4 linked regions of the Schizosaccharomyces pombe genome follow. The protein of the gene in region 2 interacts with the protein of the main gene of each other region in a pairwise test. Each region holds a gene or a part of one and is shown on either strand. Other genes may lie near its edges. The genes, in order: sly1, toe1, sec24 and dpe2.

Region 1 (7,948 bases), on a different chromosome or scaffold from region 2:
AACAGCATTTGCACTTTAAATGATTCAGAAGATGATAACAGTAGTCTTAATTCAGTGGACAATAATGAATGTACCAACCTTGACTGTGGTGGTAAAAAGCACAAAAATCTTTCACCTAATCCTTCTTTCCATGTAAACATCAATGCCGCAGAATTTATTCCGAAATCTCATAATGGGTATGCTCCTAAATCAATGAATCCCCCTCCCGAACAACTCGATTCTCCTTGTTATCCTCATTTTGACCAGGACTCTTCTTCAGTCATTTATCCTTCTCCACCTTCAACCTATTACCCCAACATGTATGTTTCAGCAAACACCTTCATACCGATGCCCTATGCCCACTATACCGACAATATGTATCATGCAAAACCTGTAAACCGTCCAAATTTCCTACCTCGAGAAGGTACTCCTCCTCCGTTTGCCCAACAACCTGCGGAGCAATTTTCACCATTCAATTCAGAATACGAATCCTTGTTAGATTTTCGTGCTTTAATCCTTGGTAACTTGCCAGTTGACTACAAAATTTCCGAATTACTTTCGCTTATCCACTCTGGACCATTAGAGAAGATTCAGTCCAACCCTGGAAAACGCAGGATTATAATTACATTTCTTGATTCTGCTGATGCCTTTTTCTTTTATGAAAGGTACCATCCTCGTGGATTCATTTTTCATGGTAGGCCACTCAAATTGACATTTGCTAGACCTTCTCCTTTACCTGAATCGATTCAAAATTTTTGCTCGAACACTGCGGCCAGCCGTAATGTGTTCATCGGCAATCTTCCTTCTTCTTATCACGAGAAGGAAATTGAAGAAGCGTTTGGTAAATTCGGCAAGATTGAGCACATAAAAATCCTCTCGAAAAAGAATATTGCTTTTGTTCACTTTTTGAACATCCGCGACGCAATCAAGGTTGTTCGTACCTTATCTTGCGATCCTGACTATCACTCATGGCGAATATTTTTTGGCTCAGATCGCTGTGCAAATCATCCACCTTCATTTGATGAAAGGTCATGTTTCACTTCCAAGCAAAATCCGGATACCACGTCTGACCGTTGCAGGCAGCAGGAATCAAAAGACAATGGAAACCGTACTGTCTTCCTTGGCAATCTCCATACTAAGACTAAAGGACATGAAATATGCGATCTAATCCGACATGGAGGGTTACAAGACTTCCACTATATTCCTGAAAAACATATATGCTTCGTTACATTTATAACGTATTCGGCCGCCAACGCTTTCCACGACTACTTGGCTGAGGAAGAAGTTTTATTACACGGTCGAAGAATTAAAGTAGGATGGGGTAAAGAAAGTGGACCTTTGCCCAGAGTTTTAGAAGATTCTATATTGATGGGCGCTTCCAGAAATGTTTACTTCAGCCATATATCAGATTCACTTACTACCGAAGAGTTAGAGCTCATACTGCGTCAGTATGGAGAGATTGAATCAATTAAATATTTAAAAAATAGAAGTTCTGGATTCGTTGCCTATACAAATATATCTAATGCCATGAAGGCTGTCAATGGCTTGCCTATACATCCTTTGTTCAAGAAGAGCAAAATCCGCTATGCTCCTGATAGATGCGAACAAGAGCTTCAAAAGTCTAAATCCAACTCTCCTATCCAACAGAATGTTCCATTGCAGCAATTTATTACTCCACCGTTTTCATATCCTGTAGCTTATTGTCCAGCAATTCCTCCAGGTTCGGATCCAATATTAAATTTTGGTATCCAGTATCAGCCCTTTATCCCCTTTACAGCCGTTCCCTCTTTTCCTTTCAACTGCAATGTTCCGAACTATCCTCAAACATCCGACCACGAAAACGACTAGTTCCAATACTCGCGAAGTAACTTTTGTTCATCAGCAAGTCAGTATGTTTCCATTTATTTTTGCTTATTCTCAATTCTACGGGTATTCACTCAGCATGCAAATTTAGTTTGTAACAGAGACTCCCAAAAACTTAACACTAACTCCTCTGAAAAAAACTTGAAAATTGTCCAAACCTAACTAAACATTGCCTTAAAAAAATCTAAAATTCCAAAAAAAATTGAAAAAGAAAAAATTCAGAAAAAAAACTCTTTTTATTCTTGACTCTAATTAAACCTTATTACTGAAAGTTTTTGATTTATCGTTTTTACACGTTTTGATTGTTTCCCACCCAAATTTGAAATTTTTTTGCTTTGTCACATTACTACTCTTCCGTGATTTCCAATGTCTTCTTTTAAATTATGTAATTTTTTGTCTTTAAAGAAAAATTACCTTCAACCTTCTGAGCAGAGTTTTATTCATTCAATGTGTCAATTAGTTTTTCAAACCATTCTTCTATCACTAAGAGAAGCCGGTCTGTGAACTTTTACTTTTCTTACCTATTAAAGATTACTTACTTCTTGCTGATGAATTCATGAACCCTTCTCGATCCGTTACTTCATGGGTAGTTTGTTCATTTACCATTATCCATTTTTTACTATTACCACAATATTTTCCCATTTGCTACTGTTTCCGTTGATGCCGGTTTTAAGCTAACCCACCAGCCAATTTTGCATTTTTCCAGCTTGCTATCATTAAACCAACTATTCTCACTTATACACATTATCATTGTACTATCCACTGACGAATTCTTTACTATTTCTCCCGTTTGATTACAGCTCAGCTTTCCAGAATCATTGTTATTGTTCCTCGTCATGATCACTATTATCCTTTGTTCACAACCAATTAATTGACTATCTTCATTCTATCATTCCATCGACCCCATCACCAGTTCGTTTACCATTTGCTTTCTTGATAGCATTCAGCTTGATCACACTAATTTTATTTTTTTCTTGAGCTTCCATATTTATCGCTTATTCTTGCTTTTACTATTCTAGGATTAACGTACTCACCATTTTCTTTTCTTTCAAAGCTCAATTATTGACGTTACTCCCAACACTTTGCTTACTACCGTTTTTTGTTATCATAATCGTTCTGTCATTTCATTTTGTCATCACTATCCTTGTCCTTATTCCGTTTTTTTTGAGATTTTTGTTTTATCATTATCATTATTCGAGTCCGACACCTTCTTTGTCATATTTTCGGTTTACTTTGCCCAATTCCTTCCATCAATACATTGTTTAATTATATTTTCCATCCATCATTGCTGTTAATTAATTACTATTACGATGATTAGGTCTACGGTATCATTATCATCATAATGATCAATGAATAATTTCATATTTTGTTTAATTCAGTCTAAAAAAATAAACGAAGACATGCCTTCTACTTATTTGATCCCATGAGCAACTTTAGCCATCGTATATGATCCTAGACACTTAGAATATGCAAATCATTAATGGCTAAATTCATAATTAAGAGCTTTTTGCGTTTGGATACTCTTTTAATAATTGTATCTTTATAAGTAAATAGTAAAGTAAGAACACCTCTTAGAAATATATGTAATGTAAGCACAGTTAGAAAGCTGAGATTAAATCTTAGAAAAGTAAACTACTGAACGCAAGATTGATTTCCTTCCTACGCTTTGAATGTTTCCGGTGCACTAGTACTGTTTTTTTAAATATCTAAAAATTTAATGAAAATCAGAAATCTTTAGTAAAGATTGAAGACTACAAGATTTGGTAAAACAGCCAAACCTCAATATTTATTTTGTTGTTTACCTTTTTGAACATTTAGCGAGACTCGCTTCACTGCCATACACCACCATATGAAGGGTATGATTCTTATGTTTATCCCTCAACACAAATCATCCTTCTAAGTGCTTATATTAGTGCCAAAGTTGGAATTGGCACGATGTCTATTGCATCTGTAAAAACACCGTCTTCTTTGAGAGAAGCTCAAATTCGTAAGTAGTGTTGCTAATAAAACTGTATAATTCTCAGTAAGCATTGCTAATATGAACCTTTAGAATCTTTAGAAAAACTGCTTAATTTGAACCAAGACGTCAACGAACTTGAATCAAGCCCTCAACATGCCTCTAATTTTCCCATTTGGAAAGTTTTAATCTTCGATAAGGCAGGGTCGGAGACTATTTCTTCTGTTCTCAGAATTAGTGATCTCAGAAAACATGGCGTTACGGTTCACATGAATATCACTTCGTTTCGTCAGCCTATTGCTGATGTCCCAGCTATTTACTTTGTTCAACCTACTCAAGAAAACATTGAGCTAATAATAGAGGTATGGATTTCTCAGTATCATAATTTTCAATCAATTAATCTTATTGTCGGATACCAAATACTTTTTTGTATTACAGTTCAGCAAGCTAACATATTTTAAAGGATCTTTCGAAGGGTCTTTACGAATCAGCCTATGTCTGTTTTTCATCTACCATTTCTCGTGCTCTTCTGGAACAGTTTGCCGAATTGGCGTCGAAAACAAATACAAGTCACATGATTCATCAAGTGTATGACCAGTATCTTAATTATGTTGTGTTAGAAAGTGATTTTTTTTCTCTTCAACTGCCCAAAATCTTTCATACGTTCCATAACCCGTCTTCAGATGAGGCTCTCATTAATTCACGCGTTCAGGATATTGTAAATGGTCTCTTTTCAGTGATCGTTACACTCGGAACCATTCCTATCATTCGTTGCCCACAAGGATCGGCTGCTGAGATGGTTGCCCAAAAGTTGAATCAACGTCTAAAGGACCATTTAATGAATACCAAGGATGCTTTTGTTTCTGTTAATCCAAAACCAAGGCCAATTCTTATTTTACTGGATAGAACGGTCGATTTGATTCCAATGATAAATCATTCTTGGACTTACCAAGCTTTGATTCATGATACCCTAAATATGCAACTCAATAGGATTACCGTAGAGTCAGTCGATGATGGAAAAATGACAAAGCGGTTTTACGATTTAGATGGAAATGATTTTTTCTGGGAAAGTAATGCTAGCAAACCATTTCCTAAAGTTGCCGAAAACATTGATGAAGAGTTGACTCGATATAAAAATGATGCTAGTGAAATTACCCGAAAATCCGGTGTTTCTTCACTTGAAGAAGTTAATGTTGACGCATTTGCTGATTCGACTTATTTAAAAAGTGCAGTTAGCTTGCTCCCAGAGCTTACAGCTCGTAAACAAATCCTTGACATGCATATGAATATAGCAACTGCATTATTAAAAGCTATTCAAGAGCGCCATTTAGATGACTTTTTTCAGTTAGAAGATAATATAACTGGACTAAACAGAAGTGCCATTCTCGCTTGCATCAATAACAAGGAACAAGGAACTCCCGAAGACAAGCTACGATTTTTTATAATTTGGTATTTAAGTGTTGATTCCGTACCGGCTTCTGATTTGCAGGCATATGAAGAGGCGTTGGTTAACAATGGCTGTACATTAGAAGCATTAAATTTTGTTAAGAGGTATACTGATTGATGTTATTGGTTTTTTCTAACTTATATTAGGGTTCGTGAAATAACTAAAATGACCATGTTAGCATCTTCTACCACAAGACCAGCTACGGGTCAAACAGGAGATAATTTATTTCGTGGATTTAGCAGTCTTTCCACAAGGGTAAGAATAGTTTGACACTTTTTCACCTTAAAGCACATATTAATTGTTTTTAGTTTACCGACCGCTTTAAAGAAGCCGGTATTGGTGGCCTTGAAAATATTATTTCGGGGGTTAGAAATCTGATTCCCTTCAGGAAGGATGGGACTATTACATCTATTGTTCAGAGTCTAATGGACCCTGGCTCTTCTCCTGCCTCCAAACAAACAGAGTCTTATCTATTATTAGATCCCAAATCAGCTCGTGCTATTACTGTAAACAATGATCCTAGGGCCATGAACAAAAGACAGACTTTTAGTGAAGCAATTGTTTGCGTACTAGGAGGTGGTAATTATTTAGAATATGGTAATCTGGCTGATTGGGCGCGTGAACAAAATCCTAAGAAGCGTATCATATACGGTAGTACCGACATATTATCGCCATCTGAATTTATGGAAGAAATGGCTTCTCTATCTTAAAAAATTATTTAGTTTTATTTTTTGGCCATCATGTTTGTTCAGCCAATATTGTATGAAATAAATGATTTACTCTTAATTTGATACATGACTTTTTTGTCGAATTTGTGTAGTCCATCATCGTATTGAAAATTTGGAAAGCATCAATGTTCATTATACGCAAATCGCGGTTATTTGTAAACGACATATACTTTCAGACCAAGAGCTGAGGGAACAGAAAAAAGAAAATGTAATTGCTGTTCTAAAACTCAAACAAAAAAAAAAAAAAAAAAATTAACAAAAAAAAATTTCAAAAACATATAATTCATAAGATTCTCAGTTATAACTTAAGTTAGACATGGCTTAAAATATGTAAGTTGTGAAAATCTTCAGTTTATATAGCATTCGAGTAATTTGGTATCGAAAGAGATGGATTTTGTAAAACGTTTGATGAAGCATCTGATATAGAAGATGACAAATTAGAAAAAATTGAACTTAATTGCGAATTCGAAGTAGCTGAGTATGCATTCGTGTTATTTTCAGAAACTTGCTGCACTAAACCATTAAATCCCAATTCAGTTGTTGCTTGAGTGTCAGACGAGACTAGCTTGATGTGAGCAGGAGGACGAGAATCATCGAATTCTCGAATAACAGGCAAATCCAAAATAATGTTAAAAGTGGAGATATCCTTACTTTCATTCTTCTCACGTTCTATTTCGCTAGTGGCTTCCGGGGTCAAATTCCGTTCATTCCCTCCACATTTGTATCCACGAGGATGGATTTCATCTTTAGAAATTTCAAATTTTATAGGAACTGGTTTGTACCAAATAATTTCGTTTTCTACATCGTCTTCAACGTGGCTACCAAACGCTACACGAGCTTCCTGTCTGTCCATATCCCTAGCATTTCCATAGATGTGTGGTGTTTTGACTGACGCGGCACCTTCCTCATTAAGAGATTCAATAAATTTGACTTGAACAAGATCGTTATCGGGCTTCCATGAAACGGACTTCTTCTTTCTCTTTTTGTTTCCTGTTTTCTCATCATTAGAAGCAGGATCACTACTGAACACTGCATTCTCAGCTTGTAAAGATGCAATCTCCTCACTTTGCCTCGACGAAGAGGAACGCTTCCTGAAGCTGGGCAATTCCTCACGATTATTACTAACATTTTCTGAACTTATTCCAGAATCCTTGTCCTTTTCCTTCTCCCGTCCTTTCAAGCCAGCCATGATAGAGGAAAGAGGAGTAGAAGGGTTGGTTTGCTGTTTTGTCAAAGGCGCTTTTGTTGAAGAGGAGGCCGAAGTTGGTTTTGTAGAGCTTGCTAAATTTTTAAAGAAGGATGTTCCCGATATGCTGGTTACCTTTTTTTTAGATTTCGAATTGCTTGATTTAGTAGTTGAGGAAGCGCTTGGTTTATTAGACGCAGACGGGGCCATCGCCGGACCAGCCGGGGCCATAACGACTGCGGAAGATGAAACAGTCGAATCGTTCTTCGTAGAGCTCTTCTCATTTTCTCTATTTTGTTCAATAGTAAAACTTTTCTCGGCCAGTTCAGAAAGATTTTCAGCAAGCTGGCGTATAACGGAATTGGTAGACTTTTTTTTTACGATTAAAATTGGTTTGCCAAACTTAACCTCAGCTAGCTTCTCAGTCGTAAGAGGAAGATTAGCTAGCACGAGCAGTATTAAATGAATGAGTTCGTCGTGTTTAGAACGAATAGCTGATACAAACCAGTTACGTAGTTTAGGAAGGAACAATTTACGACCGCCGTCAACAAGTTGGCTATAAATACTATTCCCCACTTTGCTTTTAAGAAGATCTAGAAAAACTAATTTTTGATCATCTTGGGTGATATTGCTCATGAGATTAACAAGGATTGCAGCACATTCTTTTGGAGCTTGGACGATGTTAATTGGGTTTAAACACTCAGTCAGAGTAAGGCGCAAATCTTCTAACGGATCAGAGGAAGAAATTTTTTGACGAGATTTAGATTTTAATCGTGCAAGCATTTGAA
Region 2 (7,770 bases):
CCTTCTTTTATCTTGAACATAAAAATAATTTTGAATTTTTCAACCAATAACTTGATAAAAATATACATATATATAAAATAAAATATAATAAAGTCTACTGGACAATATTCATGACTTTCATATTTAATATACAGTCTGATCTGTAAACTGTCAGACATGAATCAGACATACCAGTTAAATGATTGATTCCATATTTTTACTCTGTATTGTTAAATTTGTATTTATTTATCATATTTATTTTTTTAAATGTTTTGTCTATATCTAATAGAGAACAATTGAAAAATCTGTTCTAGCAGCAAGTAAGATTTGAACGACTGTATACCTCGTTACTAGAATCTTTCAGTACTACATAAAAAGAATGTATTGCAATAACCAATTTACTGCACTCAGCGTAAAGTCAAGAACATTTCAGGGTTGTCAATGAAAAAAAAAAGAAGAATTTTTTTATTCTCTACATTAATAACATACTGAAAATGAAATACTAATTAGTTCAGCTTGTATACATTGATTCCGTCTATGCAATGTCTACGCAAACTGGTGATTGCAGGCCTGGTTAACCTTAAATTCGTTACACAATTCCAGTGAGCCTATATGGAAGTCAACCTTAATTCGATTAGCGTGACACGGATTATTATTTTTATATCCTACGTAAAAAAGAATTTCGAACTAGAATGTGTGGCAAACGCCTTCACTACTGACTATTACGAATTGTATAAATACAAAGCCGTGGAAATAGAAACCATCTTTTCGATCGTTCTTTGAATACTTGTAAGAATGATGTTCTATTCTTTTCCTGTAAATGGGAATATTTGCTTACTGACATCAACCAATTCCAATTGTTTACATTACAAAAAAATTTTTTTTCTTCTAAACAATGACTTGCGTCGGCTATTGCCCGCGGTAGCGCCGCTCGAGAACATGCGTGCACGACCCTTCCCCGCGACTTCGTAAGGTCTAAGAAGGCGCAACGATGTAAACAAGGTATTGTTTTCGGTTCGCTGACGAGGAAGTGCCCGCGGCAAGTCCGCGTGGTATCTGGTATCATGCGAGCTAGCGCTTTCATTGATAGTATCTGGAAGGCTATAAATAAGGGAGGAAATCCATACGGTTCAACATCAATTGCAAAGGTTTCATTCATTACTTTAGCTGCCTTACTCAATTCACTTTGTTTAAAGGCTAATTTTGTGAAACGAATTTCTTTCTACCCATTGAACATTCGTTTGTCATTTTTCTTGTTGTTTTACTTATCCGTTTTCTTCAATTACTAAATTAGAACTAATTCAATATGCTTGCCACTGAACAAAGCCGTCCTGCAGAGTGCAATGGCGCTCATGCTCACGAGAAGACCGAAGAGGTTAAGAAGCCTCTTTACTCTCGTCCTGTCGTCTTGACCACCTATCCCTCTCAATCTAGAATTGATCCTTTCCCCATGAACTGGGGCGCTGCCACTGCTGAGGAACGTGGACCTATTACTGTCGCTCGCTCCATTGAGACTCTTCCTCATCGCAACGCCGTCGGTGCTCATGGCGGTAGCTACTCCGTTTACAATGCTTTAGCTGTTGCCGGTGGTTTCTTGCCCCCTGATCATCGTCCCAACTTTGAGCTCACTGAGCCCACTTTTGACTTCCCTGAATTGGACAGCTGGCATGATCCCAAGAAGATCGTCGCCATGGATCCCTATGGCCATCTTACCCCTAGCGTCTTCAAGAAGTACTTGGATGAGGGTTACGACGTTCGTCCCACCATTGCCATTACCCGTGCTCATCTCCAAGTCACTGAGATTCAACGTTCTGTTGAAAATGGCTCTTTGCCCATCGATGGTAAGATTGTTCTCAACGAAAAGGGTGACATTGCCGTTACTAAGGTTGCTGTTGAGCCTGTATGGTATCTTCCTGGTGTTGCTGAACGTTTCGGTGTCGATGAAGTTACTCTTCGTCGTGCTTTGTTTGAGCAAATGGGTGGTGCTTATCCCGAACTTATCACCCGTCCTGACATCAAAGTATTCCTTCCTCCCATCGGTGGTTTGACTGCTTACATCTTTGGTCCTCCTGAATACCTTAGCGATACTTCCAAGAGCTTGGCTGTCCGTGTTCATGACGAGTGCAACGGTTCTGATGTCTTCCAAAGTGATATTTGCACATGCAGACCTTATTTGACTTTTGGTATTGAGGAAGCTGCCAAGGAAGCCCAAAATGGTGGTGCTGGTTTGGTTGTTTACTTCAGAAAGGAGGGTCGTGCCCTTGGTGAAGTTGTCAAATACCTTGTTTACAACAAGCGTAAGCGTACTGGTGACTCTGCCGAGAACTACTTCAAGCGTACTGAAGAGTTGGCCGGTGTTCGTGATATGCGTTTCCAAGCTCTTATGCCTGATATTCTCCACTGGTTTGGCATTAAGAAGATTGACCGCATGCTCAGTATGTCTAACATGAAGCATGATGCCATTGTTGGCCAAGGTATCAAGATTTTGAACCGTATCACTATTCCCGATGATCTTATTCCTGAAGATTCTCAAGTCGAAATCGATGCTAAGATTCAATCCGGTTACTTCTCTGAGAAGAAGGTCACTGAGGATGATCTTTCTTGTGTTCACGGTCGTCATTGGTAAGCTTGCCCATCTGTTTTAGACGTCACAGAAGGACCATGTTTATTTTAAATTTCACATACATGTGTTTAATTACCTTCATTGTATAAATTCTCGAAACTTTCTCCAATTCTTCGGTCAGATAAAAAATTTCTCTAGTCACCGTCTTTTATAGAGCTTTTGTCAGATGTTTTTCTGGATGGAATCATTGTCCAGTTACTATGCTTTTTATTTATAAGTTTGAAAGTTTAGTTAACTTTTTGTTTTCTTTAATACATTTTTTAATCATGTCAACATTTGGGATTTGTAGAAGTAGTAAATTTTTTGTACATGTTGTAGAATTGGATAAGAACGAAAACAGCTAGTATGTAAAAAAAACGAAAATCCCAAATTCCGTTGTTTGTTTGATATAGTAATATTTATAGCATTTTAGTTTCTAAAGATTTTTGATAATCTTTTACATTTGCTTTCACATACATTCGCGCTACTACCATACATCATATCCCGCTTTCTTTAATTGCTTCCCCACAGACTCAACCAGCGGGGCCTTCTTCTCGCTTAATGTCGATCGGAGCTTAATCGTATTTAACTCGCATTAACTCTTGATCCTTGTGTAATCACGCATGGATAGAATTGTATATGATCGTTTTATCCCTATAAATCAAAAAGTACCTGGAAAGAAAATCGTATAATGTTGAGAGGGATGTACGCAGATACATTAACAATGAACAAATTTTAATTTAAAATTGTACAATTTCCATAACTTTTTCGTCCCTTGATTAGCATGTATTGTTTATGTTACTCATTTCTCTACACGTTTGTGAATGAATGACTTAGATGTATTCGTAGTACTACGTATATATGTCTTTGATGATGAGTTATCCCTACTTTATACTAAGTTTAAAAATCTCTTTTTTAATATTAAGATTCTTTTGCGAAAAAGTTAGCTTGGCGATACAAGAGTGATGGTGTGTTCAATGACCAGCAAATGCAAAAGCTTTACAATTTTAACGATTAATAAAAATTAGTGAGAAAAGCTTTATGTAATCTTGTTCTTAAATTAATTCAACATTGCTGAAACTCACAAATTCTTTTATTGCAAATATCTGTCGGCAGTGTTGGATACTGATGTAAGTGGTGATCACCGATATGTTTTTTTTTTTTTTTTTTTTTTTTTTTTGCCAGGTGTTTTGAGGGGATACACTGAAACACTACAATTACTTACTCAACTACACCTCCTGACATAAAACAAGCCAACTCAGAAAGCATTGTTCGCCCGTTCCGTTTCAAACGAGTATGCAAACATAAACTTGCTGTATTGCATTTTTTTCCAACATATTCGTTTTAGTCATCACTTACCCTTCAATATGTATCAGCGAGTATAGCATCGATTACTTTTCAACAAATGACTCATCAATAATAAAGGATTCAACAACCGCTATCGCTTTGTTTACCATCGCAAAATTTCGCATCGCTCCGAATCTCTTTTTTTTAACTGTCCGTGTCGTAAACCCGTCCCTGTTCTTACGCCAACAGTATCAGATAGACTTCTTTCGGCAGACGAAAATCCGAGTAAGCACCTTATCAATATTACGGAGGTATGAGTCCAACCCACAAATTTATTGATACTACCAGGTTTCTCTAGCGAGCTCTACTGATTTTAACCGTAATTACGCTAATAGTTGCTCCAAGGTGCTTTTGCCCGGAGACCAGAATAGATAACCATTGTTAAGGAAACCTATATATTTATTGAGCGAGAGTCGTTGTCTGATATAAATTCCTTCTATTACCTACATGGTGGAGAAATTTCAAGTAGGAAAGAATGGGCGAAGTGGAACGGACGCGTCAGTCATCCTCGTCTCTATTAACATTTAAAAGGAAACGTGCTCTTGAAGCGTGCGACTCTTGCCGTAAGCAAAAAACGAGATGCCTGGCAGGTTCTGTTGAGGATGAAAACCGCGCGTGCTTAAGATGCCGCTCTTTGAACATGGATTGTAGCTTGGCTGATCCAAATCACTTTATACGAAAAGTGGAAAATGACAATATGGATGCTATTAGCGCGAATATCAACTCAAAACTAGAAAACAGGTATGAATATATTTGTTTTATTCTTAAGACTTTTTAAAAACCCATTCCTCTTACTGTAGTCTTGTTGTTGTAATACCATCTTTCAAACTAACAAATTTACTAAACTGCTTATTATAGACTCAAGGTATTGGAGAAGGCCATCAGTTCTATCACAAATTCTCCTATTGCAGGCCAGATTTCCCTCAAATCCGAAAAAGACGTTTTCCTCCAGGGTTTACTCTCCATGGATGAAATCGAATTGCTCTTGGAAATTTTTATAGAGCGCTATGGTAAGCGCTGGCTCTCTGTCGACTACAGTGCTTCCCAGTACATGGAACTACTATACACAAAATCACATTTGATGCTTGCAACCGCTTGTCTCATTGCTTTAAGACACAATCCCTCTCTGAAAGCTAGGATTTACACGGACGTACTAAACATCGTGGACCGCCTTATCTCAGAGGAATTGCTCACTACTTCACCTTCCCTACAGTTTTTCGAGGCTGTATCTATGCTAACCCTTTATCGACCGCTTCGGCTTTCCCAAAAACAAGATCTCTGGCTCCTCAGCGGGTTTGCTTTGCAACACAGAACGCTTTCGAGCACCAAGGGATGGTTCAACGGTTTTGCGGGATCTAGCGCTACACTAACTTATCTCGATATCGTTCCCGCAAGAACGTGGAATCACCTCTGCCATGGTCATTTGGTTATGTGCATGGGATATCGTCGTCATGCTATGTTGGATGAAAATACTTTTGATGATTGTCGTAATATATTAACAAATACTAAGGCTAATGAATTTGACGGAAACATTTTGGGAATGCTCTCTGTATACTCCATGCTATACAGAATGCTGCGATCCCCTACCCTCGATTTGGATTATGCAATATTTCAGCTTGAAGAATGGCGCAAGGAATGGTGTCATCTTTGGGAACAACCCGAGCCGCAATATTCTCGGATTGCCTATTTTTATTCCTACAATGTCGTTTACGAGGCCAGCATCCAAACAGCTACGGATGGTAATGACTTTGCGAACATACCGCGGTATGTTAGCATGGTGCAAAGTTATGCGCTAAAAACAATTGATGCAATTTTTGAATTGTCAGCTTACGATATGTCTCGTTGCTCCGATCATGTCTTGTTTCACGCGGGTTTTGCATCTGCAAGTTTACTGCGATTGATTTACGCTGCAAAAACAAAGGAGGTAGACACTTCTATCGTCCAGCCTAAAGTTTTGAATGACCTTGTAACTAAAATATGGAAATGGTTGCTTGTTATCAGTGTCGACCAATATCATTTGGCTACAAAGTTTGCTAATTACCTGAAGGAATATCAAAAAACCGTTAATGAAGGCACTGCTGAAAGCACCTGGTTTAAAGGACCACTGCGACCTGTTTCAAGCACTACGTTACAAGCTCTTAAACCGTACAACCTTGGAGTCGCTACTGTGGAACGTGGCTAATCTTTGCCCCATAGAGCCCGCGTTTGTGCCTCGGTGCGATAGCGCGGTTGTTCCGCAATAGCTTAATCAAAGACGGTCGGAAATTCCGCGGTTGAAAATCGGCTGTAAAGTGTCTGAAAAAAACTAAAAACTGGCGATCTAAAAGATATAAAGGAAGAATTCTTGGCCCTGAATAGAGAAAAAAGTTTCCACATTTGACTGTTTACGAACTTACCTCTATCTTACGAATTTTGTAAAAAATTCCTTTTGTTACATCAACCTTTTCTTATCGAATTTCAGTTTTTTTTTGAATTGAATCGTTTTGTTAAATTAAAATTTCCATCCAATATGTCCATTCCTCTTGAACAGCCCGAGAATGTCGTGGTTCTCCGTCAGACCATGTACTTGTTATCATTGATGACTATTCTTCGCGATCAGCAAACCGGCCATTCAGAGTTTGTGCGCACAGCCAATCTCATTATCAACATGCTAATGCAAGAAGCATTGAGTGCTTTACCTTATAAGAAATGCTTAATAAAGACTAGTTCCGGCGGCACCTATACTGGCGTCCAACCAGCTAGAGATATATGCGGCGTCAGCATTTTAAGAGCTGGAGAGAGTATGGAATATGGATTGGCCGCTGCTTGCAACTACTCAGTTCCCGTCGGCAAGTTATTGGTGCAAAGAGATGAAACTACGTTTGAAGCTAAATTGATGTTCTGCAAGTTACCCAAGGATGCACAGGATCGTTTGGTTTTGTTGCTAGATCCCTTATTGGCTACGGGAAATTCTGTAATTCTCGCCATTCAAACTCTGATCAACAAGGGGATCCCAGAAGAAAACATTGTGTTTGTTAATCTCATTGCATGCAATGAGGGGATTACTAATGTCTTTGCTAAGTTTCCCAAGCTTAGAATGGTTACAGCGTCTATTGATCCCGAATTGAATGCTAATAAATACGTTGTTCCTGGATGCGGTGATTTCGGTGACCGCTACTTTGGCACTTGCTAGAATCGTTGATCTTTCATCTCATCAGTGTATATCTCTTTCTGATCCATTCATTGTATTTTAATTACCCTAATTTTTATTCGTTCTCGTTCATTTCGATATATTAACCTTAGATATAATCAATTGTAACATCTATTTCATCAAAGCCCTGTACACTGCATATCCTCGCGATTTATTTAATTTATTATACTCAAGTCCATACCGTGACATTCGACAAACCTTTAATTAATAAACATAATTTTACATCCATTTTTTCACGAGTTATTTCAGTAATCTTTAATCTCTGTTTTCCAACATTCTGTGTTCAATAAGGCGTGTTATTTCCATTTGATGTTTGATTTTTATAGAACATCCTATGTTACTTCTGTAACTATTACCATAATAAAGATATGTCGCTTACTTACTTTTGAAGTCATCCCTTTAGTAGATAAACAGCTTTATTTAGTGTAATATGAATACGCTTACTGTCTAAACGCAACAAATATGCATAACCTATTAATACACTTCATTCATTAACTAGCAATACATTATAAACAAAGATGATCTAAAAAATTTTTATGACAAACTAAAAACAAAAAATAATTTAATAAAGAACCTTCAATAAACCTTGAAAAATTACTATTAAGACGAGATCAAACCACAAAAAGTAATTTACCTAAGGAAAACAACCCGA
Region 3 (8,988 bases), 3.0 Mb from region 2:
TGGGGGACAATTATGAATAACGTATTCACTGCTATAGTACAAGTACTTAGGTAACATAAGCATATCCAACTCACCAACTACTAAGCACCAAAAAGGTTTGTTGAGACAATAAATAGTGCTCTAGCAAACTAGAAATTAATAATTCGCTTCATCTTTTAAACTTTTTAAGAAAAAAATAAATTAAACGTCACAAAAATCATGTCACAGTCTCAGTTTGATCCTTATGTACAAAATGGTGGTACCACTGTTGCAATCGCTGGCGATGGGTTTGCCATTTTAGCTGGAGATACAAGAAGTGTTAATGGTTACAACATTAATACGCGGTTTCAACCTCGCGTGCATGAAGTCGGTGATGATTTGGTCATTGGAGCATCTGGTTTCGAAGCCGATGCCCTAGCTTTAGTTAAGAGAATTCAACAAAGAATTGACTTGTATCATGATAATCATGAACGCAAGATGAGTGCACAATCCTGTGCTTGCATGGTACGGACACTTTTGTACGGAAAGAGATTTTTTCCCTATTATGTATATACAACCGTTGCCGGCATCGATAAAGAGGGAAAAGGAGAGATTTATTCTTTTGATCCTGTTGGCTCTTATGAGCGGGAATGGTGCCGTGCTGGTGGATCCGCTGCAAACTTCATTACTCCATTCCTCGACAATCAAGTGAACTTACATAATCAGTACGTTCCTGGTTCACATGGAAAAGAGAGAAAGCCAAGGAGACTTTTAAAATTGGAGGAAGCTATGAAGATTACTACTGATGCATTTACAAGTGCTGGAGAACGACACATCGAGGTTGGTGATTCAGTTCTTGTTAAGATTATCACAAAAGAAGGTGTAGAGACAAGAATTATTCCTTTGAAGAAGGATTAGATTTTTGTAAATATGACTTTTTTATGTTCCACTGTCACAGATATAGCTTCCTAGAATGGCAGCCTGCCTGTCAAGCTCAATTCCAATTTCGGATTGCATGATTATGTATGAGATTTTATCGGAGATATCCCTATTTTGAAAAGCCTAGTCTCAATTTATTTTACAAGTTAAACATTTTTTTTTGTCTTTGATGTACATTGCATAGTTTCATGGCGTATTTATGAATGTGTAGAGGATAAGTTCGAAACAACTTAAACTTGTAATTTTTTTAGTCATATTTATGAAAAGGATTAGTTAGGAAGTGATAGAATATTTGACATAAAAATCAGGATTTCAGTACATCAGTAATTTAAATTCCGTTCTTTGACTCTATGAAATCACTAGACGCTTGGCTAATTTATCATAAAGAAAAAATTATTTAATGATTTTACTTTTCTTCAATCAACCTCTTTTCATCCATATTTTATTTTCGCATCAATGAATAAAAATTTATGATGGGTAAGTAAATAGAATTATCTGATTTGTTATTTTGTGGGCATCACTTCTGTATTCATGTATTATTAATGAAACTTACTTAGTTTTCATTTATGTCTCTCTGTGTACTATTAATTTAATTCAAAAAATTCAGAAATGACCTGTCAAAATAGCCTCTTATGAATGCGGTTAATGTATGAGTTATTGACTGATAAAAAAACTAGATGCAGGCACCCTTGCTAAATTAATCAATGATGATGATGATTATTTTATTTTATAGCTTGACATTCGTTCTTTTTTTTAACCTTTTATTAATAATGGGTTAAATTATAACATCATATCGACTGGGGATGTAGTTTAGGGGTATAACGTTTCATTCGCATAGTTCGCACCTTGAAAAGGTCCCGGGTTCGATTCCCGGCATCTCCAATGTTAGAAACTATTTTTCCTTTTTATCCACATTTGTTTTATTTATTGACTACACGGCAAACAGGTTACATACACAAATGTATACTAGAAAAAATATAAAAGTGAATTTACTAATATAAGTAAGATGAGAACATTCTCTCAATGAATACACAAAAAATTTAAATCTATGACTTTGAGGAAGTAGTTAAAATAAATTTGTTCATGTAGCTAGCATAAATCATCGGCGTTAGAAAAAGCGGTGTAAGAATCATGTAAGTTCGAAATGTAAGTTTCTTCAGGAGAAGAATTTAGCATTTTGTGCAAATGAATTAAAGTATCTAAAGCGTTAACATATTAACAATAATTATTATATTCAAAAATTTACCAGAAAACGTAGAAAGTCCATCGATAAACAAGGTTTTTTTTATTCTTTCGAAATGCGATTTACAAGCATCTGCTGTCCATAGGTGATTAGCATATTCTGATAAGCATTTCCAATCAATCATCCGTTCCTCTGCAACATTAAGGTCCATCATTCTGAATTTAATTAGCTTCTTATTTAAAATTTTATAATTGGAGTACCTTTCAATTAACCATATACTATCGCCAAGTTTGAAAGGGGAACTATTATGTATATCTCTGGAAATTAGTGTGTAATACTTCCACCTACAATGATGACGGTGTCGATTTCTCATGTTTTTAGAAATTAGACTCCATTGAATAGGGGATGAAGGATTGCTTTGCAAGTATTGATTAACCGTTTTGATTAATTTTTCTTTCTCCTGGATAGTCCATGGTGAACGATTGATTTCACCAGGTTGAATGTAGTCGCGCCAATGATCTCTGCAATGCATTGGTAGTCTATTCGACAATTTGCCAATTAAGCTCCAGGATGTTCCATGTTTTTCAACAAGTCTATTAGTTAGTTGCAATTTGGAAAGTAAACTACATACTTTTTCAATTCTGCCTCATCTTCTATAGTCCATTTACATTTTTTCTTAAATGGATTATATTTTCTGCGGAGATAATTGTAAATACTCTTTTTATCCCTATCGATAAGCTCATCTATTATTAATTAGTAACAAGTGATAGTAATTGACTTACACAAACAATTATATAATGTTTTCATTTCATCACGATGGTTATCAGACCAAACATATTGAAGAAATTGTTCATCAGACCAATTTTTTTTCTGTTTTTTAATATTTATAATAAAACAGCAAGCTAAAGACCATACCTTTTTAAACATAGCAATTTCTTTTTCCAAAGTGATAATGTCGTTTGCTCCCCATGATCCAGACGACGCTTTTTTAACGTATTGAAACCTTTCATAACCTGGAATGTTAAAATATCCCTTAAGATGCCTATACACAGTCCTTCGTGAAACATTGGGCACTTGAATTTCTAGACTTGAATTAGCGGATTTTTTTGAAAGCACTCAGGTGTCATACGAAATTGAATGAGTAAATTATTGAAAGGTTTTGGAAGTCTTTTGGTTTTAATAAGAAGATCTCTCGCAGCCACAAAGTTTAATTCGCTTTCTTTCAAAAATTCATCAATTAGTTGACTTAACAGAACCCAAAAAGTGGGTGTCCAGTTGGTGTAATCTCTACTGAATACAAAGTCTTTATATGAAGTAGTGCCTGTTTTTTTGAAGCCTCGACATGTTTCATGGTCTTTCGCACTTCCAGCAATTGCTGTTTTCACATTTTCAGGTGATACCATAGTCTCATCATAATTGTATTCATGAAAGCTTATGGGGTTTCCCAAGTAAATGAAAGAACTTGTATTTTTCGAGTCACCAATGGGTGATAAGAGTTGATCATCGACAAAGAGCTCTTCATTGTCCTCTGTATCCGGTCTGCAACTTAAATTGTTTTTTCCTTGCATAATAATGTTCACTTGTCTGAAGAAATATTAAGAAAAAAACATTGACAAAAGGTAATCAGTATAGCAAGGGACCCGGGGTGTAATAGTTCATGTAAGACAAAACCAAATAGCGCAGGCAACTTCAATTATTCAATCTATAATTGAACTTTTGATACTTTGCAATTCTGAATTCTAATTAACTAGTGAGCCTGTTAAAATTGGGTAACATTATAGAGCGTTGGTGTAGCTAAATAGTGTACGATACATGCAGTGATGGTTTTTGAGAGCATTTTTAAAAAAATTTCAAAATTTCTTAAGATGTGACTCTCTTGTTTATGATATATACATGTAAAATTTTTAAAATAGAAAATTAAGTATGAGTGGTTTAGAAGAGTTTTTTTAGTTGAAAACGTTTACAGGTATCTGCCTCATATCAAACTTAAAAAAAAAAAAGAATAAATTAAAACGATAAAATATCTCTATTGGCTTTTGTTTACTAATAATCACTATTTTTTATCAATTAGGTACAAAGTTCCTGCCTATGTTAAAATTATTAGGGTAATAACGTGTGTCACCGATATAATTACTACGATACATAGTATTTAATAACGAAACTGTAAAGCTCGTTAACTTTCCAGTGATTACCTTAACTTTCCATCTACGTTAGTTGAACCAGCGAATGTAGCTGCCATTTACCTACTCCAGGGAACACTGTTAAAAACGTCTTTTTGTGAAAAGGAAGGAAAAATAGAGGGATCTTCAAAAAAGTTATTAAATAATTCAGTGTTTCTTTTCTTTTTTTTGCTAGCAATATACCACTGTAAGTAAAAAAAAATACACTAAAGCAATGAGTCAGGAGGACGCTTTCTACGGAAAGGGTAGTTATGGAGCTAGTAGTGGAAATTCGAATATACCTCCTCAAGGATTTCAGCCAGTTTATCCAGTTGCTGGCCAGCTAGATAATACCGCTCCTTATGTCGGGGCAGTTGCTGAGGGTACAGCTGAAGGCATTGTAAGCAATGGTGAATACGCTGTTGGAGCTATGGGTGCTGCTCCTACCAACATAATAGGATCTGTCGATCAACAACCACCCGTTTCTCATACCTCTCATAAGTCTCGTAGACAGTATCCTGCTGAGGTGTTTGAACTTACAAATACCTTAGCAGCGTCACCGGCTCCCCCTTCTCTTTCAGAGCCCTCTTACGTTATGGCACGAACTCCATCCTCTTCACCATATCCTCATGATCGCGCAGAGGTGGGAACTAAATCTCTCTCTGCACAATTTGGCGGAATGTCACTTGGAGCAGATGGTGCAGCAGCTATGCCTACCAATGAGTTAGTTTCTGTTGATTTGTACAATCAAACACCAGAAATTTCTGACTTAACCTCTCCTCCTCCTCCTATTAATTTACCCTTAAGCTATTCCGCTACTGGAGCAGCTACTTCCAATTGCCCTCCCAAATATGTTCGATCCACGATAAACTGTGTACCGACAACAAATAGCTTGTTAAAAAAGTCAAAAATTCCATTTGCATTAGTCATCCGTCCATATACTAGCTTGGTCGAAGAAGATGATCCAGTTCCAGTTGTTACTGATACTATTATATCACGATGCCGCAGGTGTCGTATGTATATCAATCCTTTTAGTATCTTTATTGACAATGGCCATCGCTATCGCTGTAATTCTTGTGGTATTGTTAATGAAGTACCCCAGTCATATGACTGGGACAGTTTCAGAAATGTCCAACGTGATCGCTGGCAACGTCCTGAGCTCAATTATGCAGTTGTTGATTTTATTGCTCCTCAAGAATATATGGTTCGTGCTCCACAACCTTTGGTTTACGTATTTTTAATTGATATTTCGTTTGTATCCATATCTTCTGGTATGGTTGGTACTGCAAGTCGTGCAATTCTGGAATCATTGGATCGCATCCCCAATAAAGAAGGACGTGCAAAGGTGGCTTTTATTGGTGTAGACAGTGCCCTGCATTTTTTTTCAGTTTCCCCTGGTGCTGAAGAAGCCACCCAACTAGTTGTTTCTGATTTAGAGGAACCGTTTTTACCCAGGAATCAAGATTTGTTACTTAATTTACGCGAATGTAGACAAGGCATTGAAAACTTACTCGAGCGATTTCAATCAATGTTTGCAACTACCCGTGATTCTAGTAATGCCCTTGGACCAGGTCTTAAGGCTGCCCATCGTCTCATTGAAAATATTGGCGGTAAAATTTGCTGTCTCATTTCGAGTCTTCCTAATGTTGGTGTTGGTAAATTGGAGTTACGTGAAGATCCTAAACTTTTGGGAACAAATCGTGAATCTAGCCTTCTTCATCCCAATGACTCCTTCTATAAATCCTTCGCGGTGGAATGCTCCACGTCTCAAGTCTCTGTTGATATGTTTCTTTTTTCTTCTCAGTATCAAGATGTAGCAACCTTAAGTTGCCTTCCTAGATACACCTCTGGTAAAACCCAATTCTATCACAGGTGGAATGCTTCCCGTAGCGAGGACGCTCTTAAATTTGCTTCTGAACTTACTAACTATCTCAGTATGGAGATTGAGCTAGAGGCGGTGATGCGTGTTCGTGGATCTAACGGTCTCCGTATGTCTTCTTTCTACGGAAACTTTTTTAATCGTTCAAGTGATCTATGTGCGTTTCCTTCTTTTCCTCGCGATCAGAGTTATGTAGTAGAGGTTGTTATTGAGGACACTATCACCAAGCCCTTTGTTTCTTTCCAAACAGCTATGCTCCATACTACTTGTAACGGTGAAAGACGGATTCGTGTACTGACTATTTCTCTTCCTACTACCAATAGTATGACTGATTTATATGCATCAGCCGATCAAGTTGCCATTGCACAATATCTTACTGTCCGGGCTAGTGAAAAGGCTCTTTCTTCTACGTTGAACGAAGCCCGTGATAGCATTATAAGTAAGCTTGTAGAAATTTTGGAAGTTTACAAAAAAAATTTGGCTGGACAAAACACCGGTGCTGCGATCCCGCTTCAAATAAGCACCAATTTAAGACTATTACCATTGCTTTGTTTAGCATTGACGAAGCATACTGGATTCAGAAGATCTAGTCATATCTCATCTGACCTTCGTTCTATTGCTCTATGTTATTTAAGTACTCTGCCAACTCCTTTACTAATGCGTTACATTTATCCAACTCTTTATTCTTTGCACGATATGCCTATTGAAGCAGGAACTGTTACAGAACAGGGTGTAGTTCTCCCTTCTGCGTTAAATCTTACTTCAGCTTTGTTGCAATCTTTTGGTTTATATTTGGTTGATACACACATTCATCAATTTTTGTATATTGGTAAAGATGCAGTTCCGCAGCTACTGATAGACGCATTTGGTGTAAACTCTCTTGCGGATTTGAAAGCTGGACGTTTTACAATGCCAGTTATAGACAACCCACTTAACGTTCGTATCAATGCGATTCTCGGTAAACTTCGTTCGTTGGATAAAGGTTCAACTATTATGCCTAGTCTTTACCTTGTACGTGGTGATGGTGATCCACAATTGCGCTCATGGTTTTTCTCTCACTTCGTCGAGGATCGTAGTGAGAACTCTCCCAGCTATTTACAGTTTTTGCAGACTCTTAAAGAGAAAGTTCGTGACTAAAGGCTGTAAAATCTGGCTACTTTCTACAAAACTTTTTTAAATTGATTGTTCTGATGGTAATATATGCCTGAATTAGTGACATGATTAATTAATAATATTCAATATGGTTAAACATTCTTTGGTTTTTTGTATTTTTAAGAAAAAAAAAATTTAAATAATTGATCTAGTAAATATACTTGGTGCTTTTTATATTGATGAAAGCTATATATGTATCAAACTAAATTAGGTATTTGCGTACATGTAGCTTCCAGCCAGCTTGTACATAAATTTTAGCTTTTATACCTTGTCTATTTTCATATTACTTGATGTTGAAGTTGTTCCAAGAATAACAAAAGGTTCTAATAATTTAATTTAATTCATTACAATTGAGTTGCAGTGTATAGATTTTCAATTTCGCACTTTAGAGCTTCACATCTTCTATTTAAAGCATAAAAAAAATATTAAATATTTATTAAATTTCATTTTCATTGCAATTAGATTATATATCCAGGCGAGTATTCACTTATATTGAAAAACTAATTTAAGAATGTAATTTTGCACTGCGGTACTAGGTGCTTGGCAAGTGGTAGAATTTTGCCTTCTGCCAAGCACTCCTAATTGTAGTAATTAGATTAGAGAGTCGAAATCCTATTATTTTAAAAAGATGGGAATCAAAGAGAGGAATGCACCTTCTCAATATAAACAATCATCTCGTAAAAACAAACGAGCATGGAGGAAAAATATTGATTTGGAGGATATCGAGTCTGGTCTAGAGCAGACTAGAGATGAGGAAATAAAAGGGTATATTAGTTTTTGCATTGTATTAATTAAAAATATTTTTATTAACTTAAAACAGTGGAAATGTCGAGCACAAGCCGAATGATGCTTTATTTGTAATTGACACTCTTGGTGATGATAGAATTGCAAAAAGAAGCAGAAAAAAAATTAAACCATTAAAGGTTGATCAAATTCTTGAAAATAAGTCTTCCATAGAAAAAGTTCATTCTCATTTAACGAATAATTCAACTGAAAGCAATAAGAAAGGAAAAATTTTTTCTAGAAAAGAACTAAATAGACTACAAGCTTTGGTGTATAAAAATAAAGATGGTTTAACCGCAACTTCTGCTGCTAGTGAGCTCAAAAATACCAAACAACCAAAGGAAAGTTATGATGTTTGGGAAACAAACCCAACAGTTACTATACCTGTTAAAAGACCTTCTACATTATCTAAACTACCCGAATCTTTAACTGAGAATAATGCAAAAGTCCCAAATGTTGTTATCGCTGATCCAGGAATGTCATACAATCCTGACGCTGCAGCTTGGATGAAGCTACTTGATACCAAAGGTTCAGAGGAACTTAAGAAAGAACAGAAAAGAATTAGTGAATTAGAGGAAAAGGAAAGAATACAGAAGAAAGCTTTTGAAGACAAGGGATTAGTTTCAGACCAAGACGTTAATCACAGCATTGATTCTGATGACCAGTCTGAACACGAACAAGCAGAAACTCCGATCCCTTCTTCGAAGAACAAACGAAAAACCAGGTCTCAAAGAAATAAGATACGCCAAAGAAGAGAGGAGGAGCTTAGATTACTTGAGCAAAAGAAAAATGAAGAGCTTCTGAGGACGATCGACAAAGCTCCTGCAATATCCAAAAAACTGCAGCAAAAGGATAAAGCTGAGAAATTCTCTAATAAGGCTGTTTCTTCTAGCACAACTGAAATCAAACTGAAGAAGAAAAAATTCGGTAAACAT
Region 4 (7,180 bases), on a different chromosome or scaffold from region 2:
TTGGAGCCATGCCATCCTTGGCTAAATTATACAAAGATCGACTTCCTATATATATACCACTGTTGATGGAAGAAAGGCAAGTAATTAAAATGACTGCATTGACAAAATCACCTGCGTGATTCCAACCGGCATTCATTATAGCAATTGTCATTGGAGACTTGAGAGTTTTGGAGCCTGACGAAAGATTTGGGTCATTCCATGCTACGGTGATACCGTAAGAGATTGAGATACCAAAATAGACATACAAGATTCTCCAGAACGTTTGTCTCACAGCAAGCGGGATAGCTTTTTTTGGATTTTTGCTTTCAGCTGCAGTCATAGATACAGATTCTACACCACTAAAAAAGACACCGGCATATACAAATGCTGAAACTATACCCCCAAATCCGTGTGCCAATGGCATTTCTTTAAACAAGTTGGGCGGCTTATGATGAGGAATTCCTCCAGCTGCGTAAATTATTGCAAATATGTAGAATCCAGTAATAAATAGAAGTTTAATGAAAGCCAAAATGTATTCAGATTCTCCAAACACTGACACACCTAGCATTTGGTAACACGTAAAAAAACCCCAAAAAATTAGAAAAAAGCCATAAGATGGCACATGGGGGCCCCAATATTGAAGAATAGATGTTAAAGATGTATATTCTGCTGCGATGTTGGTAAGCCATACGATAACATAGTTCCATCCGATAGCGGCTCCAAATGCTGGGTCAACCCATCGAGCAGCATGAGTATTGAAGTTGAAATCAAATAGCGAATTAAACTCGCCGATACTCAGCATAACCCCAAAAACAACAATACTAACGATGGCAAAGCCGACAATTAGACCCACCGGACCACCAATATGCAGGGCACTGCCCATACCAATGAAGACACCTGGACCGATGATACCAGCAAGGGCCATCATCGATACATGACGAGTCTTCAATCCACGTTTGATTCCATTTGAATTATTTTCCGCTGCGTCAACTGTTACAACTTCGGAAACTCCAATGTCGAGGTTTTCTGAGGAGGATAGCTTCTTGGCAGGAACTTTCTCAGAAGGCGCTGCCTCCATTTTCTTAATTAACTTAATTCACTTTATTCTTAATATTAGAAATTACAATTGGTATTGTGATCTATATATGTACAACAGAATTGATAAATGTAATCAATTCTAATAATGTTAGCTGCAGAATCAACATGAATTCTACCGCTAATTGCTCAAAAAAAGTTGTTTTAAGCGTCAAATCGTTTAATCGTATCTTTGACGCTGTGCTAATCAACTGCAATTCATTGGAATTTAAAGTGTTATTCAAGGTAAGCAGATTATCAGTGAGATTTTTAAAATCGCCAAATTTCGCTAAATTACTTAGCCTACAATGATGATAAAGATAAGCTTCTATATAAGTATTAAAAGGTGACAGATTTCAACGTTTTGGCGATGCGTTTATTTGAAGGTGATAAAATCGTCTTTATAAGATGAGATTTAGCGACTTGTTTAGGCGGCCCATATATACATGTCGGCAGGAAGACACGGTTTTGATATACCCATATCTATATATATTCAGATAAATTCCATGGTGATCGTCGCAGTAAGAAGCTGATAATAGTTGAAAATGACGGTTGATCTTAGGGAAGAGAAAGAGCTCGCACAGCAAAGATTTAAAGAAATTTGCAAGCATGCGAAAATTGTTGATACACACAATGACTTCCCTTACCTGCTGAGAGTTCAATTACGAAATAAGCTGCAGCTGGCGGAGTTTGATTTTGAGAACGGTTTAACTAGTCACACGGATCTTGTAAAAATGAGACAAGGTCAAGTCGGAGTTCAATTTTTTAGCTGCTTCATTGAATGCAAAAATCCGAATTACCTGTACCAAGACTTTGATACACCTACTACTGTGGTGCGCGATACACTAGAACAGATTGACGTTACTCGCAGATTGGTTTGCAAATACAATAATGATTTGAAGTTTGTCGATTGTGCAGACGATGCCATAGCAGCGTTTCGAAATAATGGGAAAATTGCAATTGCTTTGGGAGTTGAAGGTTTGCACCAGGTGGATACTTCTCTGGCTGTATTAAGACAATATTACTCACTTGGTGTGAGATATATAACTTTGACTCATAATTGTGATAACCCATTTGCTACGGCAGCTAGTTCCATTACTGGGGGCCTTCCAGACAGAGGTCTTTCAGCGTATGGAATTGAGTGTATTTTTGAAATGAACCGACTCGGTATGATGGTGGATTTATCGCATGTAAGCCACCGCACTATGCATGACGCCCTCGATGTAACCAAAGCTCCCGTAATATTCTCACACTCCTCCGCATACACACTTACAGAGCACGAAAGAAACGTCCGAGACGATGTATTGGAAAGGCTGAAAACGAATGGTGGTGTCGTACAAGTCAACTTTTATCAAGATTTCATTCGTAAGCCTGGAAGCGACCGTGCAACAATCGATGATGCTGCAGATCATATCTTACATATCATAAAGGTAGCCGGTTGGGAGCATGTCGGTTTAGGATCCGATTTCGATGGAATTCCCCAAGGCCCCAAGGGATTGGAAGACGTCTCTAAATATCCCGATTTGATCTGTAAAATAATTGAAAGGACGAATGCCACAAACGAACAAATTGAAGGATTAATGGGTTTAAATGTGCTCCGGGTTTGGAAAAAGACCGAGTTAGTGGCATTGCAACTATCTAAAAAATTGGAGCCCATTGAATCAAGTTGGTCTGGAAGAAAGTGGGAGTTTTACAGCTATGCTAAAGAGTTTCCAGAGCTATTTCCAGACGCCTATAAACTGAATGAAAAGAGTACTGTTTGGAATTATGATCAGCCTTTGAACATTGAGAAATAATATCATAAGGATCGTTGACTTTTTAAGAAGGTGAAGTAACCAGCTTTCATTTCGAGGTTACAAAAAATAAGTCATCAGAGAGTTTTTAGCAGCATGTCCTTCTTTCATACCCAATAACATGTTTCATTCTACTGATTTTTAACCTATGAATTATCCCAAGGAAGATCACAAGGACCGATTGCAATTTCGGTTAAGTTCGTATCCACATTGTGTAGTTTCGACAAGTAAATATGAACTTACAAAAGTTTTTCTATTAATCAGTATAGTTATAGTAGAGATACGTTGAATAAAATTATGTGTTTTATAAATCAATGGAATAAGCAAGCAATCAGACCCACATAAAGAAGCACTTTGCTACATGAAAATCGCGCTAAGGAATCAGCAATAAGACAATTAGAGAAATATGAAATAAAGAAAAAGAAGCATGCGAGAATTTGATATGTTGATGCAATTTATCAATCTACTACTTTGTAAGCAATGAAGCAATGATTTGTTCGAAAGTCACAGAGATTCAAAGTACTGAACCATACATGATTTTGTCAATAAGCTAACAGGGCATAAGGCCCACAATCTATCTTTAAACAATAAAATTAAAAAAATAAAATAGCAATAATAAGAGAAGGAGCCTACAGCACCCCGGATTCCCATGTTGTCTCCAACCATAGTACTAACGAGGCCCTCAGACGCTTAACTGCAGTGATCGGACGGGAACTGGTGTTTTCGCCTAGGTATGGCCGTAGACAATGTTTTTCAACAATAGTAAATTATATGGTAATTTTATGAAAAATTTTATGATTAACTGTTAATGAAAAGAAAAAGTAAAATAATGAAGACGACATTTTGTCAGTGTAGACTTTTGAGCATGAAATTTGTGAATGATCAAATTCGATTAATTGATAATATTTTTTACTACGTTTTATTTTACCAAAAGTATTTGCAACATCATATCGATTATGAAAAAAATTTTTTTTTAAACAAAGTAAATTAATATATTTGTTCTATTTTCATCTGTTAAAATTTTATTTATTTTTTACAATCTATTCGCATTTTTAATTTAAATTAATTTTATTATTTTTTTTATATCATTTTATTTTATTTTACTTTACTTTTTTACGGTTTTTTTTCCTTGCATGTCTTAAAAAAACGTTTATAACGGTAAATTTGCATACATGCTCAAAAGAGAAAAAGTCGCATATGTCAATAGTCTTATCTTTATAAAGAGTCCAAATTGCATAAAGCCGGACCATATTATAAAAAACAAAGATAGCTAATTGAATCATTTGAACGAACGTATCAAACATGTTCAAAAGGACACCTTAATCACATGACTTGTGCAATAAAATATTAAAACGGATTTTAGATGCGGGATGACTAATTTGATGTGGAGAAAAAAATAAACGATAGATGGTAATTACCAAATAGTTTCTTTTGAGTTGCAGAAACATTGGCAGGTAAGCTAGCTATACCATGCAACAAGGCCTGACTTGGCTTCCCCTTGTATAACATGTTCATTTGTAGTTGCATATTTGCAGATCATTTTTATACATATTCTACTTTTTCACAGACATGGCTAAGGAAGTATGTAAGGAGGAAATGTATGCTAATTTAATTCTCAACAAATCCATCTTGTTGCATTGTCGGCAGTAGAATTTTTGTTTTTAGTTATGAATTACTTTTTGAGTAAGTACATATAAGATGATAGTTTAAGAAGGAAAGTCGATCTACACACGTTTAAAAATTGTTGAAGCGATTCGTGCATCGGTCAATTGTATACTTTAAAGCTTTTCTTTCCTTAGGTCACATCTAGAACTTATTGAACACGATTTCAAGTTGTGAAGAGGAAAACGGATGCGATCCACTTTTACCGGAGCTGGATGATTTTTCCAATCACATTGTTTACATGTCAAAAAGGGAGCACAAGAAGTCGTAAAGCAAGGATCGCATAGAAAATGTAAAGGAAATTAAAAAAAAAGATGAATGAATGAATGAATAATAAATAAATGGAACAAAAAAATGAATGAATAAATTGAATAAATAGATTAAATAACGAGAACAGAAAATAGAATCTTAAAAAAAAAAAAAAAAAGGACAAACAAGGAAACCTTAAGGGTTGCGTATGTTTGTATGTGCTTTTCAGATTCACCCTTTATTCGATTTCTCAGTATTGTTTTCTTTGCCTGGCTGGCTTACCTTTTCCCGTAGATGCCAGCCATCTTGGTAAATGTACATCCCCCACATAGACCCATGTCCCCCAGTCGACTGCAAACATGAACCACTTTGCTACTAGCTAAAAGGAACTGACTACAACTTTGAAAAAGTTCCTATGTGGGGGTGAGGGGGGAAAGAAAAATGCGGAGGAAGTGTTTCGGGAATACCGTGTTTCTGCCGAAGTCTTTGCCGGTCGTGGACCGGGTGTCCGAGGAATTCCCTCATGACAACGAAGCCGAGGGTGTCGCAAATGGGATAGCGAGAGAAAAAGAGAGAGAGCAGCTGAAAGGAAATAGCGATGAGAGACGAGGAAGAGAGAGAAGAACTGAGTAATGCGATAGAGGAGGAAAAGAGAGGTGTGTTATAGCACCACACAATTTTGAAATGTAAAATAAAATCAAAGACATGATGAATCAATCATCTTTGTGATAAATCAATTCAAACAATCAATGGTGCTTTTGTGCATAGTCAATCGTCCATTGACTATTCAACTCATTGACCTATTCAACCCATGACAAACATAGTGTCGACCTTAGCCTTTTCTCATCCCATTTTATTTTTCATCCTACATCTTTACGTCTACAATTTACGCATCCCTTCATCACCAACCCAATCCTTCCTACACCTATCTCCATCTTACAAATCTTACTCATTCATTTGATAGCTAGAGCCATCATCCTGTATATAGACTCAAAAAGAATGGAATGGGCCTTGTCTTTTCCATCTTTCTCCATGATACGAATTTACGGACTAGTGTGCTTGTCACTTTCCACTCGCTAATCTCTAGCACGTGGAATGCAACCGCACAGGGAAACGAGGATGTAAAGCACCAAGCAAAAGCAATGCAGTGGAATACGAAAACGGTGTGTGTAACGACATAAAAAAAATCTCATTCTTATCAGTAATGATTAGATAGTGTCTTGTTCTTTGTCTTTGTTTTTGCTTCTTGACTTGCCCGATATACTTGTATTAAAAATATACTCCATAGTACCGGATTTTACGCATTGCTGGGATGTAATAAATGTGTGATATTATTATTTTGTTACTGCAGTGAAATTGGGTTGGTTCGTAAATTGAGGTATAAGCTTGTTAAACAAAATGGAAGAGAGACTGATAATCGTAGTAAATGAACCAATAAATGGAAATGTATTTGACCCAGAAAATCAAATGATTTCAGCAAAGAGAGATTGGAGGCAAAAAGAAGAAAAAGAAAAAAGAAAATGGCCAACCGAGAAGAAGAAGAAAATTTTTTTAGCGGAAGAGAGAAAACATTTTGAGAAATTTAACGAGGAACGAGTAAAAGAGTAAAGAGAAAATAAATAACAAAAGAATATATAATGAAAGAATTAATAATCAAAACATTTACAATTTAACTCTAAAATTACCATTTACCTCTTTTTCTTTTTCTTCTTCTACTATACTTCTATCCACTTTACTCATCTCTTCTCTTGCCTTTTTTTTTTTTCTCTCTCTCTCTCTTTCTTTTCTCTTTTCTCCTTTCTCTTTTTGCTGCCCTACTCCCGCTGCCCTGCCGACGTCCTTTACCCTGTTTTTCCTCTTCTTCCTCTTTTCCTCGTTTTGCTCCCGGAAAAACGATAAGCTTTTCTAACGTGTTTCCTTCCCCTAACCTGCAATCTTCACATTTGCATCGGCAAGGTAGCAGGGGCGGTAGTTACGTTGGACTGGGGTGGCTAGATTCATCTTTAAAATAGTAGGGTCAGGATGATTGTACCATAGAATTGTTTTTTGTCCTCTACTCTTATCTAAGATTTGAAGGCATATCTATTGCAAAAGCAAAAGTATCTGAAACTTCGATGACTGCGTATTTTTTCATATAAAACGATATTGACCGGCATTGTTGAGTTGCGAATTGCGTTTGGAAAACCAGCGGAAAAAAAAGTAGGACATAGCAAATTGATTGCTTAGCTTTTGTAATAAGAAGGGATCAGGGCTGTTGTTGTTTTCTTGGTTTAGAAAAAAACAGAATCAAAAATAATAAAGCAAAAAAGAATATTTTGTTCTTTTTCCTCCACTCCCCATTTTATTTCACCCAACGGACTTTGTGTGAGAGCGATTATCGGTTCGTCTGTTATTCAAGACATACTTTGTATTATTTGGGTCTT

What was found.
Region 1: the proteins of toe1 (region 2) and sly1 interact in a two-hybrid assay, tested with the Schizosaccharomyces pombe proteins (one large-scale study listed by BioGRID).
Region 3: the proteins of toe1 (region 2) and sec24 interact in a two-hybrid assay, tested with the Schizosaccharomyces pombe proteins (one large-scale study listed by BioGRID).
Region 4: the proteins of toe1 (region 2) and dpe2 interact in a two-hybrid assay, tested with the Schizosaccharomyces pombe proteins (one large-scale study listed by BioGRID).

The regions. Positions count from the first base shown.
Region 1 is NC_003421.2:1,919,420-1,927,367, forward strand, and holds sly1 (SNARE-binding protein Sly1), read left to right. Parts: upstream 1-3,740; 5' UTR 3,741-3,777; coding exon 3,778-3,829; intron 3,830-3,892; coding exon 3,893-4,161; intron 4,162-4,262; coding exon 4,263-5,350; exon of another isoform or gene 5,351-5,392; coding exon 5,393-5,501; exon of another isoform or gene 5,502-5,554; coding exon 5,555-5,956; 3' UTR 5,957-6,054; downstream 6,055-7,948. Other genes in the region: mug24 (rrm type RNA-binding protein), read left to right, coding at 1-1,827; ppn1 (cleavage and polyadenylation specificity factor complex-associated protein), read right to left, coding at 6,327-7,948.
Region 2 is NC_003424.3:1,834,184-1,841,953, forward strand, and holds toe1 (protein toe1), read left to right. Parts: upstream 1-4,292; 5' UTR 4,293-4,403; coding exon 4,404-4,669; exon of another isoform or gene 4,670-4,786; coding exon 4,787-6,110; downstream 6,111-7,770. Other genes in the region: urg1 (GTP cyclohydrolase II), read left to right, coding at 1,286-2,605; uck2 (uracil phosphoribosyltransferase), read left to right, coding at 6,438-7,100; fur4 (plasma membrane uracil transmembrane transporter), read right to left, coding at 7,753-7,770.
Region 3 is NC_003424.3:4,795,281-4,804,268, forward strand, and holds sec24 (coincidence detector Sec24/Sfb2 subunit), read left to right. Parts: upstream 1-4,314; 5' UTR 4,315-4,474; coding exon 4,475-7,255; 3' UTR 7,256-7,372; downstream 7,373-8,988. Other genes in the region: 20S proteasome complex subunit beta 6 Pam1, read left to right, coding at 199-876; RNA polymerase I termination factor Rtf1, read right to left, coding at 1,987-2,096, 2,144-2,295, 2,341-2,673, 2,712-2,823, 2,863-2,950, 2,996-3,162, 3,210-3,648; rRNA processing protein Rrp16, read left to right, coding at 7,899-8,035, 8,091-8,988. UniProt on the Schizosaccharomyces pombe protein: Component of the coat protein complex II (COPII) which promotes the formation of transport vesicles from the endoplasmic reticulum (ER).
Region 4 is NC_003421.2:2,304,694-2,311,873, forward strand, and holds dpe2 (dipeptidyl peptidase), read left to right. Parts: upstream 1-1,526; 5' UTR 1,527-1,598; coding exon 1,599-2,849; 3' UTR 2,850-3,164; downstream 3,165-7,180. Other genes in the region: agp3 (amino acid transporter), read right to left, coding at 1-1,057.